Linked DNA regions of Caenorhabditis elegans. The protein of the gene in region 2 interacts with the protein of the main gene of each other region in a pairwise test. Each region holds a gene or a part of one and is shown on either strand. Other genes may lie near its edges. The genes, in order: scrm-8 and R02F2.5.

Region 1 (7,168 bases), on a different chromosome or scaffold from region 2:
TCAAGCGTTGTGCACTGATTTTTTTGGTTTTTTGAGACCAAAAAAACCAAAAAATAAATTGCAACACTGATTCAGCAAAAAATTAAACAAATGAGAACAAAAAACCTTGTTCAATCGTTCGTGTGTTCAATTTTTAATATTTCATGAAAAATTCCTGTTTTGTCCCGTTTGATATCAAACCGTGAAATTTTTTTTGTTTTTTGTTTTTTTTAGTTTTTTTTTGTTGGTTTTTTTGAAAATTTCGATTTTTTGTTTCTTGTTTTTTGGTCCAAAGTTCGACCAAAAATTTTTTTGTTTTCTGGTCGAAGTTTGTTTTTGTAATACCTGGTGGTGATCCTACTGGGCGGTAATTTAAGCCACACCCAAGCTGGGGACTGTGGCCGTTTTATAACTTCAGTAACTGTTTGATAAGACAATAAATTTCGAGAGCAGGCTCCAGTAATCCTATGCCTCACTAACAGGGAATATACGTTAGCTATTTCAGAAAAATAGCACAATTCGAGCAGGCTATGGAAACCTCGATGCTGCTATCTACAACATGAAACTTGAGTACTCATATTCTGACAATACGCCAATCAAACTCCAAATTAGACAATACGCTGCGATGTAAGATAATGTTAGTGCTAGTTCATCAGAAAAATAACTTTTTTCAGCGATATTGACTACTGGCCACCATATGCTGACTAAATGCCAAGTTTTGCAATTCATTTGAATAAACATTTGAACATTCCAATAGCTTACACATTTCAACAGATAACACTTCAAAAGTTTTTTAGTCTGGGAGATTGATAAAAATTTGTTTCAAAGTAATTTTGCAGAAATTAAAATTCTGCCACACTATCCTGTATGGAAGAATTTACATGTCGATGTGCATTCTTCTAGTTGATAACTTTGAGACTCAGCGAACGCTTGACAAGTTATCACTGCTTGTTCAAGTACTGATTTCGAGCTCCAAATTTATTGTGCTGGTTGCCAGGAGCCACTGGTTTCAGGTTTCATGCTGCAAAGTCATCTTCAGTGTTTCACTGAAGATCCACAAAACGAATATATAGTTTGGCTGCTTAACCATTGAAAATCTATTAGTTTTTGTTCAGTACCGAAAATTCAGATCGGTGAATTCGAGAAAGTTTTGGAAGAGCTGCGGGATGTTTTTGTTCATAGTTTCTAGAAAATTTGGAGCCACGGGGTAAATAAATAAATTTTTAAATAAATTAGATAAGTTCAAACGTGAATATGAACTTTCTGCCCTTTCTGCCCTATCCCTTTTCCCCACGTATTCAATTTTCGAAACAACAAATAAAATCAATACTCCCTTCGATTGAAATTCATTCATTTTCGACTAGTGAACAACGATCTGATATGTGAGTTTTCTTATATCTGTCAGTGTTCCCCAAAAAACCCGCAAAATTTTTTCAGAAAATGAACAAACAACCGGGACAGCAACCATTGAGATCGCTTAGCTTGACGTCTGCGGCCAAGTCACCTGAGGAGGTTGAGCCGGAGCAGGATTCGAAGAAAGGAGAGCCACGTGCCAAGGCTGCAGGATTCGGAGGAGGTGGAGGTGGTGGAAAGAGACTCCCAGAGGCAAGATCTACGCCAATGGTCATTCCGAACCAGGTAGCAGCGATGCCGGTTCAGATGACTGTAAGTCATTCTAGCTAATAGTGATCGTTTTAACTTTTGACTTTTCAGGGCTTCGTCCAACTTGTCGCCAACAACATTCTCAGCGCCATTGCCCATACCAACTCTGTGATGGTTGTCCAATGCATCAAACCCCTCGAGATCTTCACCGGATTCGAAACTCCGAATCGCTACGTGGTCCATGACATGTACTGCCGCCCGCTGCTTTATTGTATGGAAAGATCGAACATCTTCGCTCGTCAGTACGAAGGAAACGATCGTAACTTCGGAATGCAGATCATGGATACCCACGGAGCTCAGGTGATGACGTGCTTCAGAGGAAGACCATGCTGCTCGACCGATGATTTTCTGAGCACCCAGTTCCTCGATCAGCAGATTGGGATGATGAAGAAGGAGTGCTGCAATCCTAATGTGAGTGCTAGTATCAAGTAAAACTACAGTAATCCAGAGCCCTGAAGCATTCTTTGGAAAAATCACATTTTTCTCAAAAGAGATCTTTTCGCTGATCTGAGTTTGCATCAATCTTGATCGAGCTTAGAGCCAGGGCTGTGCGGCAAATTTTGAAACTTGCAGTGCTCGGCAAACGGCAAATTTGCCGCACACCCCTGATGCCCTATCTATAGTCCGATCTATAATATATCTGTAACTTGGCACATAGCAACCTAGAGTCTTTCCGCTTTGCTCTGCCGCCCAGCCGCAAGACATTGATACACAAAAGAGAGCAAAGCGGAAGGACTGTAGGTTGCAATGTGCCAAGTTTGTACTGACATAGATATAGACTATAGGTTACTAGACTGTCCAAATGTCTTTCAGTATTAAGATGTTTATCTAGAAAGCCTATTACTTGGTACATAGACGTACAGGTTTCACGCCTTTGCTCTGCCGCCCAGCGGCTAGGCATTGACACACTAAAAGAGAGAAACACAGAGCAAGGCGGAAGGACCGTACGTCACCAATGTACCAAGTTACAGATATAAATTGCACTATACAATTGCACTATACGTAGATCTATAGATCTATATCTATATACCGCTGAACGGCAACATCGGGACTAGCATGACACCTTGTACAAGGGCAAACTCGGCAAATTTGCCGAGCTCAACTAACTCCGAAAAATTTGATGTTTTTTGAAGCACCAAAACTACTGAATTTTTAACGCGGCAAATTCGCCAAATTCGCCAAACTTGCCGCACACCCCTGATCAGAGCAATCGTTCCTATAGGCTGAAGCTTTATTAGCTCTTCACCTGAATCTCCCATCCTCCTTGAGACACATCCTATTAACCTTTTCTTTCAGTTCGAGCTCGTCGGATCCGGCTGCAACCAGCCCCTGCTCATCCAATCTCCAGGTTGTGCAGGCTGTGGTGGCACCCAGAAGTTCCCAGTGATGACCTTCAATGGTGTGCTCGTCGGAGAAATTGTCCGCCTCTACCCGGGATTCATGCAGGAGATGTTCACCGATGCGGACACCTATATTGTTCATTGTAAGCATTTTATTCTAAGCTTCTGATCTTTTCTATCTTAATTTTGGAATATTTCAGTCCCAATGGACATGCCGCCAATCTTGAAGCTTCTGCTTGTCACCTCGGTTTTCCTGATCGACTTCACCTACTTCGAGGATCGTAACCAGGATCAACATCGTAACGGCGGAATGCATAGCGGAATGCATAGCAGCTTCTAAACTTATAAAGGATCCTGTTCACAAATTCACTTGCAAACTAGAATAAACTAGTTTTTTCTGGCTTCTTCTTACTATACCTACTAGCTGATAATTTCTCAGCAAAAGATTGCGTTTTCTGGGCACAAATGACTTGTTAAAATTGCGATAACTAATACACGTGCAGCAGACAACAATTCCGCAGATAATTTCCTATTTTTTTCCAACAGAAATTTAAATCTGACGTGAAGTTCCACATAGTACAATCAGATCAGATTTTCAAAATTAATTTATTTCCGACTTGTGACCAACACTTTTCTATGTGAGTTTTCTTATTTCTCTTGGTTTTCCCTCAAAACCCGCATAATTTTTTCAGAAAATGAATATTCAACCGGGACAGCTACCATTGAAAGCAATTAGCTTAACGTCCGCGGTGAAGTCACCTGAGGAGGTTGAGCAGGATTCAAAGAAGGATGAGCCACGTGCCGAGGGAGCGGGGTTCGGTAGAAGAAACAATGCTGGAACGAAGCTGCCAGCGGCGAGATCGACGCCAATGAAAATTCCGAATCAGGTGGCAGCGATGCCGGTTCAGATGACTGTAAGTCATTCTAGCTAATGGTGACCGCTCTAAATTCTGACTTTTCAGGGCTTCGTTCAGCTTGCCAGCAACAACATCCTCAGCGCAATCGCCCATACCAACTCTCTGATGGTTGTCCAATGCATCGAACCGCTCGAGATCTTCACCGGATTCGAGACTCCAAATCGCTATGTGGTCCACGACATGTACTGTCGTCCGCTGCTTTATTGTATGGAAAGATCAAACGTCTTTGCTCGTCAGTACCACGGAAACAATCGTAACTTCGGAATGCAGATCATGGATACGCACGGAGCCCAGGTGATGACTTGCTTTCGAGGAAGACCATGCTGCTCATGCGATGATTTCCTGAGCACCCAGTTCCTCGATCAGCAGATTGGGATGATGAAGAGGGAGTGCTGTAATCCTAACGTGAGTTTTGGACGATAACCACCGCCAGTAATAACTACAGTACTACATTAAACTACAGTACCCTAACATTTATAGAGGCATGAGAATATAGGAAACATTTTAACAATACATTGTGAACAGTCCTAAAGTGGTGTCAGGCTGTCTCATACCGGTACGATCTACAAAAAATGCGGGTGTTTTCCGCCCAGAAAAGTGTGCCAAAACTGTGCGTCTCAATATTGTAGATCATATGGGACATCATGATACCCCGATAAAACCACAATGCCACGTCCTATGCCGATCATTTTGTGAAAGTAGGGTTGTTAGTCGATGATCTAGGGATCTAAATTGTTCCGAGCTATCACAAGGGAATTCTTATACCTAACACCTTTCATTTGCTAGTCCTAGATTCTTTTAGTTCGAGCTCATCGGATCCGGCTGCAACCAGCCCCTGCTCATCCAATCTCCAGTTTGTGCTGGCTGTGGTGGTACTCAGAAATTTCCAGTTATGACCTACAATGGCGCACTCGTCGGAGAAATCGTCCGCCTCTACCCGGGATTCATGCAGGAGATGTTCACCGATGCGGACACCTATATTGTTCATTGTAAGTTCTTAAGATCCGAATTCTATCTGAATTCCGATATATTTCAGTTCCAATGGACATGCCGCCAATCTTGAAGCTTCTGCTCGTCACCTCGGTTTTCTTGATCGACTTCACCTACTTTGAGGATCGTAACCAGGATCGTCATCATCATGGTGGGATGCATGGCGGAATGCATAGCAGCTTTTGAATTTTTTATGAGCCCATTTCACTTGCAAACTAGAATAAACTAGTTTTTTCTCCACAGTTTTATAGCTAGCTTTTCTGTAATTACAAGCTCACTTTTTTCAGAAGATAATTCTGTTTTTTGGGCACAAGTGCTTAGATTTTTCCCGTACATCCCAAGAAGTAGTTGATTTTTATTTAAAAAAAAAGCTTTGTAATCTGGATGAAAATTCAAATTTTCAACGTGACCCCTTTTCCACCCCTCACGTAACATCTTCTCCCAACATAATCTCCCATTCCTACTATTGTTCATCGTCATCGAATGTGAGTTTTCTATCGCTTCTTTCTGGGACCCCAAAACCTTCCAACTTTTCCAGAAACCAATAAAAATGAATAAACAACCCGGAGAGCAGCCAGTCAGCTGTGCGACTTCAACTGAGAAATCCGAAAAGGAGCCACCGAAGAGCCGAGCGGAAGCTGGAATGATGCGTGGCGGCGGGAGACTTCCACAGCCACGGGATACTCCGATGGAGGTGCCGAATATGGTCGCAGCAATGCCGGTTCAGATGACGGTGAGTAACCTTACGACGCGTTGCGTGTCGCGTTGCGTGTCGCGTTGCGTGTCGCGTTGCGTGTCGTGTCGCGTTGCGTGTCGCGTTGCGTGTCGAGTTGCGTGTCGCGTTGCGTGTCGCGTCGAGTCGAGTGTCGCGTCGAGTGTCGCGTCGAGTGTCGCGTCGAGTGTCGCGTCGAGTGTCGCGTCGAGTGTCGCGTCGCGTGTCGCGTTGCGTGTCGCGTCGAGTGTCGCGTCGCGTGTCGCGTTGCATGTCGCGTTGCGTGTCGCGTTGCGTGTCGCGTCGCGTGTCGCGTTGCGTGTCGCGTTGCGTGTCGCGTTGCGTGTCGCGTTGCGTGTCGCGATGCGTGTCGCGTTGCGTGTCGCGTTGCGTGTCGCGTTGCGTGTCGCGTTGCGTGTCGCGTTGCGTGTCGCGTTGCGTGTCGCGTTGCGTGTCGCGTTGCGTGTCGCGTTGCGTGTCGCGTTGCGTGTCGCGTTGCGTGTCGCGTTGCGTGTCGCGGTGCGTCTCGCGTTGCGTGTCGCGTTGTGTGTCGCGTTGCGTGTCGCGTTGCGTATCGCGTTGCGTATCGCGTTGCGTGTCGCGTTGCGTGTCGCGTCGCGGTTCTTTGATGTGGAGTACAGGTTTTTCCCCACCTGCAGTCCGTGGCGATTGTCGATGGAGCGCAAAAATCGCTGCGAGGAAGAAGCCCGTGTACTATCATTGCATATTGTTTGTTTGTTTTTTAGTGACGTCATACCCAAAAACTGGGACATATGACGTCACCACTTGTAGTCGGGGCCTGTCGAGTGACGTCATCGTTAATCTTTTTTGAAAACCGATCAGATGAATGGCTATTGTGAAAACTTTTGGCGGAAAATTGAAAATTTCTGCAAATTTTTTTTGGCGGGTAATTCAAATTTTTGAGAAAAATATTTTGGGGGAAAATCACATCTTCTGGAGCATTTTTTGGCGGGAAATTTGAAACATTTGAGAAAATTTTTTGGCGGGAAATTTAAAATCCTCAATCTAAACCAACATTATTCCAGGGATTCGTGGACCTCGCCCCTCACACCATACTCGACGTCCTGGCTCAAACCACCTCCCTTATGATTGTCCAATGCCTTGAACCACTCGAGATCTTCACCGGAATCGAGACCCCCAATCGCTACGTGGTCCACGATATGTACTGCCGTCCGCTGCTCTATTGTATGGAAAGATCCAGTTTCTTTGCTCGCCAACATCAAGGATCCCACCGCAACTTTGCTATGCAGTGCATGGATATTTTCGGGGCTCCTGTGATGAATTGCTTCAGAAGTCGACCGTGTTGCTCGTGTGATGACTTTCACACCAGAGGTTTCGATTGCAATGAAGAAATGGACGAGAAGTACGACGTGCACTTTGGAGACAGCCGTTGGTGAGTGTTTAGAGATTGGGGTGGAGTACGCGTTACCACGCGATCAGGGAGCCACCGTCTCAGCACGGGTACATAAAGCTAACCATCATGAGGCCATTATCAATAATTTATTGTTCCAAAATGTAATTATTACCCAAAAGCATGAGGATAACGA
Region 2 (6,557 bases):
CGTGCATTTACTACGCGATGATTTCAGTTTTACGGAGCACTTTTGACCTCAACGATTCGGAGCTCATTTTCATCGAAAACTTGAAAACGTTGAAGTATGGTGAAAGTTTGATAGAAAATTATATAATTTTCATTGAAAAATAGCGAAAAATCAGTTGAAACCAATCAATTAATCTCGATTTTAAATTAAAAATCAGTCTGGATTTTTTTAAATTAACCTTTATTTTTTTTTTCAGACTAAAAGAAATCACAAAGCATCTCCCTTCAATCATCAATTCCTGCTCCAACACTCGCCAAATTACCGCTAGCAAGAAGCTTAAAAATCTCGAAAATCTTCAGGATTTCCTTCACAATGTCACAGAAAAACCGGAAAACGACAATTTCTCGGCTGCTTTTGCCCTTCTTTCAATCAATATTTCACTAATCTTCGATAACTGGAACTTTTGCGAGAAAATCCTGAAAACTCTACCGAAGGACGTTCTGGAAAAGCTGATAAAAGCAGGAAAGGGATCTGAAAATGAGAATATTTTGAAGGTTTTCAAGAAAGTGGCTCAGGAAGCTGCTCCAGTCAAATTTGTGAATAGAACCGCCGCGGATGTCGCTGAGAAGCTCCGAGAGCCGGAATTTGCAGTGGCAGAAGCCTTAAGCTTGCTCCAAGGAGTTCATACAGCGGAGACGAAAAAGGAAGTCTTTGGTAATCATTTTTAATTACAACTATTAAAAAAAATAATTTCTTTTACCCAAGTTTTTTGCAGATTCTGTTGTAAAATTCGTCGAAGAGATTCCTGGAGCCGAGAGCATTGACGAGATGAAGCTTTTCAAGTTGATAATTGAAATGTATGGTGGAAGTCAACTGGAATCATTAGCTGTTCAAGTAGTGTTTTCACGAATTGCTGCCGACGGTTGGACTGAAATGGATCGGGCTCCGGGAACCGAGAAATCTGATGAATCATGGTTTACAGTACTTGTGGAGACGATTGATCTGCTTGATATAGCAATGAAATCGGCGAAGAATTCAGTGCTAAAATCATTCACTGCACTTTTCTGTCAACTTTTTAGCCAAGTTTTGAAGAATTCTCAAAAATTCGTGAGGAATAGTCTGAACGCGGTCGCGTCGCGTACACTTTCGCCTGAAATGGAAACTGAATTTGTGCTCCGCCGTCATAAATTGAGTCAGGATTTGGCAAGATTAGTAGATGCAATGAAGAGGAATGAATCGTATTTTGCAATGGTAAGATTTTGAACATTTTAGAAAAAATTTAATATTCTTGAAAACTCGAAATAAATAAAAAATCAAAAACTGGGAGTTTTTCGATGGTTAAACTATTTTTGAAAAAAATTTTTAAAAAAGTATTTTAATTTGAAAAATTGTTTTTTGAACATCGTCCATTTGTCGATAATTAAAAAAATTTATACGAATTTTAATATTAAAAAAATCGTGAACACTATTTTTTGAGTCGTTTGTCTAATGGGGTTATTCAAGTAATGTAGCAAAATGCATTTAAATACATTTGTGACGTCACAAATGTATTTAAATACATGTTTTTATCTACTTGAATAAGGTTGTGACGTAATTTTTCTACACTTTTTAATTTTCCGACACTACTTGAATAACCCCATAACAAATTACATAAATTTTTTTCTAGTTTTTAAATATTGAAAAAAAAGAAGAAAAATTGTAGAAGTTGGAGAAGAGTTTTAAAAAACATTTAAAATTAAAGTTCTTTTTTGAAAACCCATTTTAAAACGTTTTATCTTTTTTTTCAGGATTGTCAAATTGATAAAAATGAGAACTAGTATTTCTTGAGAAATTTCCCTTTTTTTTAAAGAAGAAAATAGACATTTTAATTTTAAATAATCTGTAATAATCACTATTTCTTCTCGAACTCGATTTTTTTTAAAAATTCTGTCAACTTATTAATTTTCGAAATTAGGGGGAGCTTGTTGAGTATGTTTTGGTAAAAGTTACCAAGAAAAACGACTAAATTGAAATTTTAAAAAAACCTTCAATTATTCTCAAAAACGGTCTAAATTTTTATTCTTCAGCTGACTGCATCAATCATTGGAGACGCAGTATTCTATGGATCAGACAGTCTACTTGCCATGTCAAAACTACATTCACTGGCCGATAAAAATGCATCCGCGTTGCTCGCCACGAATCTTCCAGTTGTTGAGAGAACCCGATACAAGAAGTTCCTTTCTACGATCACGAGGGCTTCGAAGCGAATTTATTAATTGTTTTTTTTGTTATAATATCCATTTTTATGTTGTTGATTGTTCATCTTGTTCTGTTGATTTTTAAGTGTTCAATTAAAAAATTTATTCCAAAAAAACACAAAAGAGTTCAAAAAAGTCAATAGAATCCGCATCCATAACCACCATATCCTCCATACCCGAAATCAAAACCTCCGTATCCATATCCTCCATAAAATCCATTATAATATGGGTCGAACATAACACCACCTCCATAATATGGATAAGGGCTCATGATCACTGGCGGCGGAGCCATGACAACTGGAGCCACCGGAGCAGCACCCATGACCATTGGTTGGGATCCATAGACCACGGGAGCAGCTTGTTGTTGTTGAGGGTAAGCTTGAGCAGGTGCAGCCGGAGTTGCCTGGGGAGCTGCCTGAGGAGCTGGTGTAGGTGCCGGGACTGGGGCTCGCGGAGCAGACTTTCTCTTCTCCACTTCCTTTTCAACCTCTTTCTCCGTTTGGTCGATGCAAGTAAAAAGCTCTGGATCTTCAGGCGTTGGTGATGGCTCCGCAACTCTCTCCGGTGGTTCTGCAATCGTTACTCTCCTATTTTTGGGCTCCACGACTTTCTCAGGAGCTTTCGGTGCTGCTGGAGGTGCGTAGGCCGGTGGAGGTCCCTGTGGGATCCCTTGAGGCTGCTGTCGAGGGTATGCCTGAAAAATCGATATTTTCTTTTATTGATTTTCGGAAAATTATCGATTTTCCCTACCATTTGCTCTGTCGAGGCGTTTGGAGATGGTTGAGTGTGCTGACGATTCTGAAAAGTTGAGGTACAAGGAGGAGTTCTTGAGCTTGACTTCAAGGCGACCTTCGTCTGCCTTGTGTCTATTCAGTTTTTTTTATGGAACCCGGAACAGGGATTATAGGCAGGCACGGTCACCTCATATGAAACTTGGAGACTTACCATTTGGTCCGAGCGTTGGTTGTTCCGTTGATTATTTCTAGCTTTCTTCGATTGACAGCATCCCATTTTTCATCGATATATTTGAGTTCTTTTGATTATAAAGTAAGTTGGGAATAAAATTTTTTAGCGGCAAGTTTGAACATTTGAAAAATAAATCATTTCCAAAAAAATAACTGCAAGGCGTTCACGCAGAAATGGAAGCGGCCGACACTTTCCTTTTTCTAATGCCAGCAGTCGACACTTCCCGTGGATAAATTTTGGTGGATCAATTTGCCAGTTTCGGACCGATTAACTAATTTTTAGAAAACAATCTCAGACTATTTTTATTGCAAAAAAAGGATCAATTATCAATTATTTCTTATCGGAAATATTTTCAAGTCACTTCATCTTCTTCTTACTTTTCATTTGACATCTCGATTAAAACATAAACGGATCACAATAGAATGGATCACCGTAGTACATTCCACCTCCATAACATGGATAAGGATCCACAATGACCACTGGCGGAGGAGCAGCCACTACGACTTGCTGTTGCGGTGGATAGTATGGCTGTTGAGCCCCATACGCAGGAGGCGGTTGTGGCTGGTACGGGAGACCTGGAGACGGTTGTTGACGTTGAGGTTGTGGAGGCTTCTGTCCATTGGGAGGTGGAGCTTGTTGCTGCTGCTGCTGTCGAGGTGGAGGTGGAGGTTGATTCCTATTCTGAGGTTGATTCTGGGCAGGATAGGGGCCTGATTGGGTTCCGGTTTGATTCTGAAAATATAGTTTTTGAGACGAGGAATCTCTAAAAATGAATGCTGTCGAGATTGTAAAAGGTGTGCAAAACTATAGTGACTCTACAGTAACCAGGTAATAAACCTGCGCCAACCGTACCCCTAACAACACGTAGTACTTTGGTTTCAAAAGAGTTCGCAGCGAAAGCTGATGCAAGCTTAAGCGTACAAGTACAGTATTACTACAGTAACACTGTAATTACAACGATGAGCTACCGTAATCTTGCAATAAACCTATGAAACCCGCTACCGTACCACTACAGTAAACCAATCGAAACTTGGTTCTGCAGAGCGTAATCCTACAGTACCTACCATTTGTTGTCCATTTCGATTTGAATTCCTACTATTCTGCTTGTTTTTTGAACCGCAGCATCCCATTTTCTCACGGCTTTCAGAAATGAATTTCTTTGAGTTTGAAATTGATTTTTGGAAAGTTTTACACGTAAATGTTAAACTTTTCGACTTTTTAAATTATTTTTTTCCAGATTTTTATTATTATTATTTAGGCACGAATGAAGTTCAATTTGAGACAGCTAACATTCACGAAAATAGGGGTTAACAAGGAAGGCGCGAAGGCAAACACAGGTAGGCACGAGGGAGTGAGATAGGCGGATAGGCTTGTAGGCTCAAAATGGTGTATGGACCTGAAAATGTTGATAATAACGCTGATAAAAACGTTGATAAAAACGATAGAATTGTACTGTAGTTTTTATTGAATATCATCAATTCGTAGAAATCTCGGTATATCACCAATACATACACATACACCTATATATATAAATGAATAAATAAATGCAGCGGTATGCACACCCGTTCGGTAAGCAATCCAAGTAGTTCATCCGGTATTAAATGTGGGAGAAGGTAGGGTACCATGAAAGAAGCTTAAACTCTCATTCGGAACCCGTCGTTGTTTTCTTCTTCTTCTTCTTGATTATTGTCAGCTCCCTCAGCTTCTGGTTCATCGGGCTCACAAGTTGTCGTTGGTTCCTCAGTTGTTGTAGATGTTGTGGTGGATTCCGTTGTTGTAGTCGGAGCCTCGTAGTTCTTTGGCATGTAGCAGAGCCCTTGGTAGCAGGCTGGAGCATTTGCTGGGCAGTTGGAGCATTTTCCATTGTCACCGGAAGCCCAGGTGAAAGCTGGCATCTGGAATAAGGAGTTCAGTGAAAATTAATATTTAATTTTTGGTAAAATAAGAACTGAGTTCCAATTTTTTAATGAAAATCAGCAATACCAAAAGTTGTCAACTAAGAAAATTGCTCAAATTGAGTTTCAAATCATCTAGCAAATTTGAAGGGGGTCACTTTTGAACAGCTATATCTCCTTGAAAATCATAAGTTTCAAAACAATTTAAAAAAGGGGAAATCTTTTTACAAGAAAAAGTTTATACTGTTATACTGTTTTCTGCGGACTCTAGGTCCTTCTGCAAAAATACGAAAACTTGAAAATATTTAACGAAAATAGAAAACTATTAATTTTGAAACTGTATCATTCAAACGGTTAGAAATGGTTAGAAATGGAAAACATCTTGAAGATGTCCTTATTCAAACGATGACTTGCGGAGCTTGTAAATATTAAATAATTGGCAATTGGCAATTTATTCAAACATTTTTTGACTAACATTTACCAGTTGACAATTTTTGAGAACTCTTACTTTTACAAAGTTAAGGCGTTTGAAGATTTCGAACAAAAATTTAACATTTTCAAACTCGGAACTGCTGGATATCAGCAGAGAACAGTCAGATCAAAACATTGTCAACTAAAATGTTTTTTAAAAATATTTTGAGATCTACAATGTTTAAGTTAGAAATTGTTTGATCTTCCCGCAGTTTCATCAAAATTGAATTTTAAAAGTTGTTAACTGCTACATTTGCCAATAATGCATTTAATAACTCTTACTTTGACCAAGTTACAATTTTTCAATTTTTAACAATTATTTTTTAAACCCTTGCTTTTTAGCGGAGAGTGGTCGGATCAAAATATTGTCAACGGACAAAATGTGATAATTTGTACATTTCACCAATTGACAATTTCAATCAACAACCTTCAGCAAAGCCAAAGGAGACACCAGCCCACAAGAAACCAAATTCACTGCACTCAAATTAGGCGAAAGCAACGGTTAGCAAGAAACTCAAAATAACATAAGTGAGGGAGACAAGGACGTACGAACCGCATAAAGCTGTCCTCTCGCAGTGACGAATACCGTATTTCCCTGTGGATTGTAGTGACAGACGAATACGTTACGATGTCCACGTCCCCAGACACCCTGAACGTCACGGCAACGGGAGAAGCCGCATCCGACGAGATTCGTCTTTGCCCAGACAACCTAAATTAGTTGATTTTATTTAATTTGTACACTTAGAAAAAGGGATTAATAGAACCTGAACATAGTGACCGCAACAGTGTTTATAGGCATGGTTACATCCACATCTTGGATTATGGACCTACAAAAGATTGATGGTAATTATGGAAGATGCAAGGAAAATAGAAAAATATTTGAAATTACCTCGTTGAACCAGATCGAGATAGCGTCAGAATAGTTACTGTACGGCGCCGCCCAGATGTTTTCGCCGACGTTGATGCGTCCACGGGAGTGACGGAAATCACAGGTGTCCGCGTGGCGTTG

What was found.
Region 1: the proteins of R02F2.5 (region 2) and scrm-8 interact in a two-hybrid assay, tested with the Caenorhabditis elegans proteins (2 studies listed by BioGRID).

Annotation. Positions count from the first base shown.
Region 1 is NC_003282.8:4,161,103-4,168,270, forward strand, and holds scrm-8 (Phospholipid scramblase), read left to right. Parts: upstream 1-3,589; 5' UTR 3,590-3,619; intron 3,620-3,673; 5' UTR 3,674-3,676; coding exon 3,677-3,895; intron 3,896-3,943; coding exon 3,944-4,303; intron 4,304-4,700; coding exon 4,701-4,887; intron 4,888-4,934; coding exon 4,935-5,074; 3' UTR 5,075-5,128; downstream 5,129-7,168. Other genes in the region: scrm-5 (Phospholipid scramblase), read left to right, coding at 1,420-1,644, 1,693-2,052, 2,938-3,124, 3,182-3,321.
Region 2 is NC_003281.10:5,476,074-5,482,630, reverse strand, and holds R02F2.5 (Prion-like-(Q/N-rich)-domain-bearing protein), read right to left. Parts: upstream 3,314-6,557; 5' UTR 3,228-3,313; coding exon 3,162-3,227; intron 3,015-3,161; coding exon 2,967-3,014; intron 2,911-2,966; coding exon 2,353-2,910; 3' UTR 2,303-2,352; downstream 1-2,302. Other genes in the region: R02F2.7 (Myb-binding protein 1A-like protein), read left to right, coding at 1-94, 236-693, 755-1,230, 2,046-2,234; R02F2.6 (uncharacterized protein), read left to right, coding at 3,707-3,949; R02F2.10 (Prion-like-(Q/N-rich)-domain-bearing protein), read right to left, coding at 3,579-3,914, 4,247-4,312; Protein lon-1, read right to left, coding at 4,817-5,077, 6,102-6,257, 6,313-6,375, 6,438-6,557.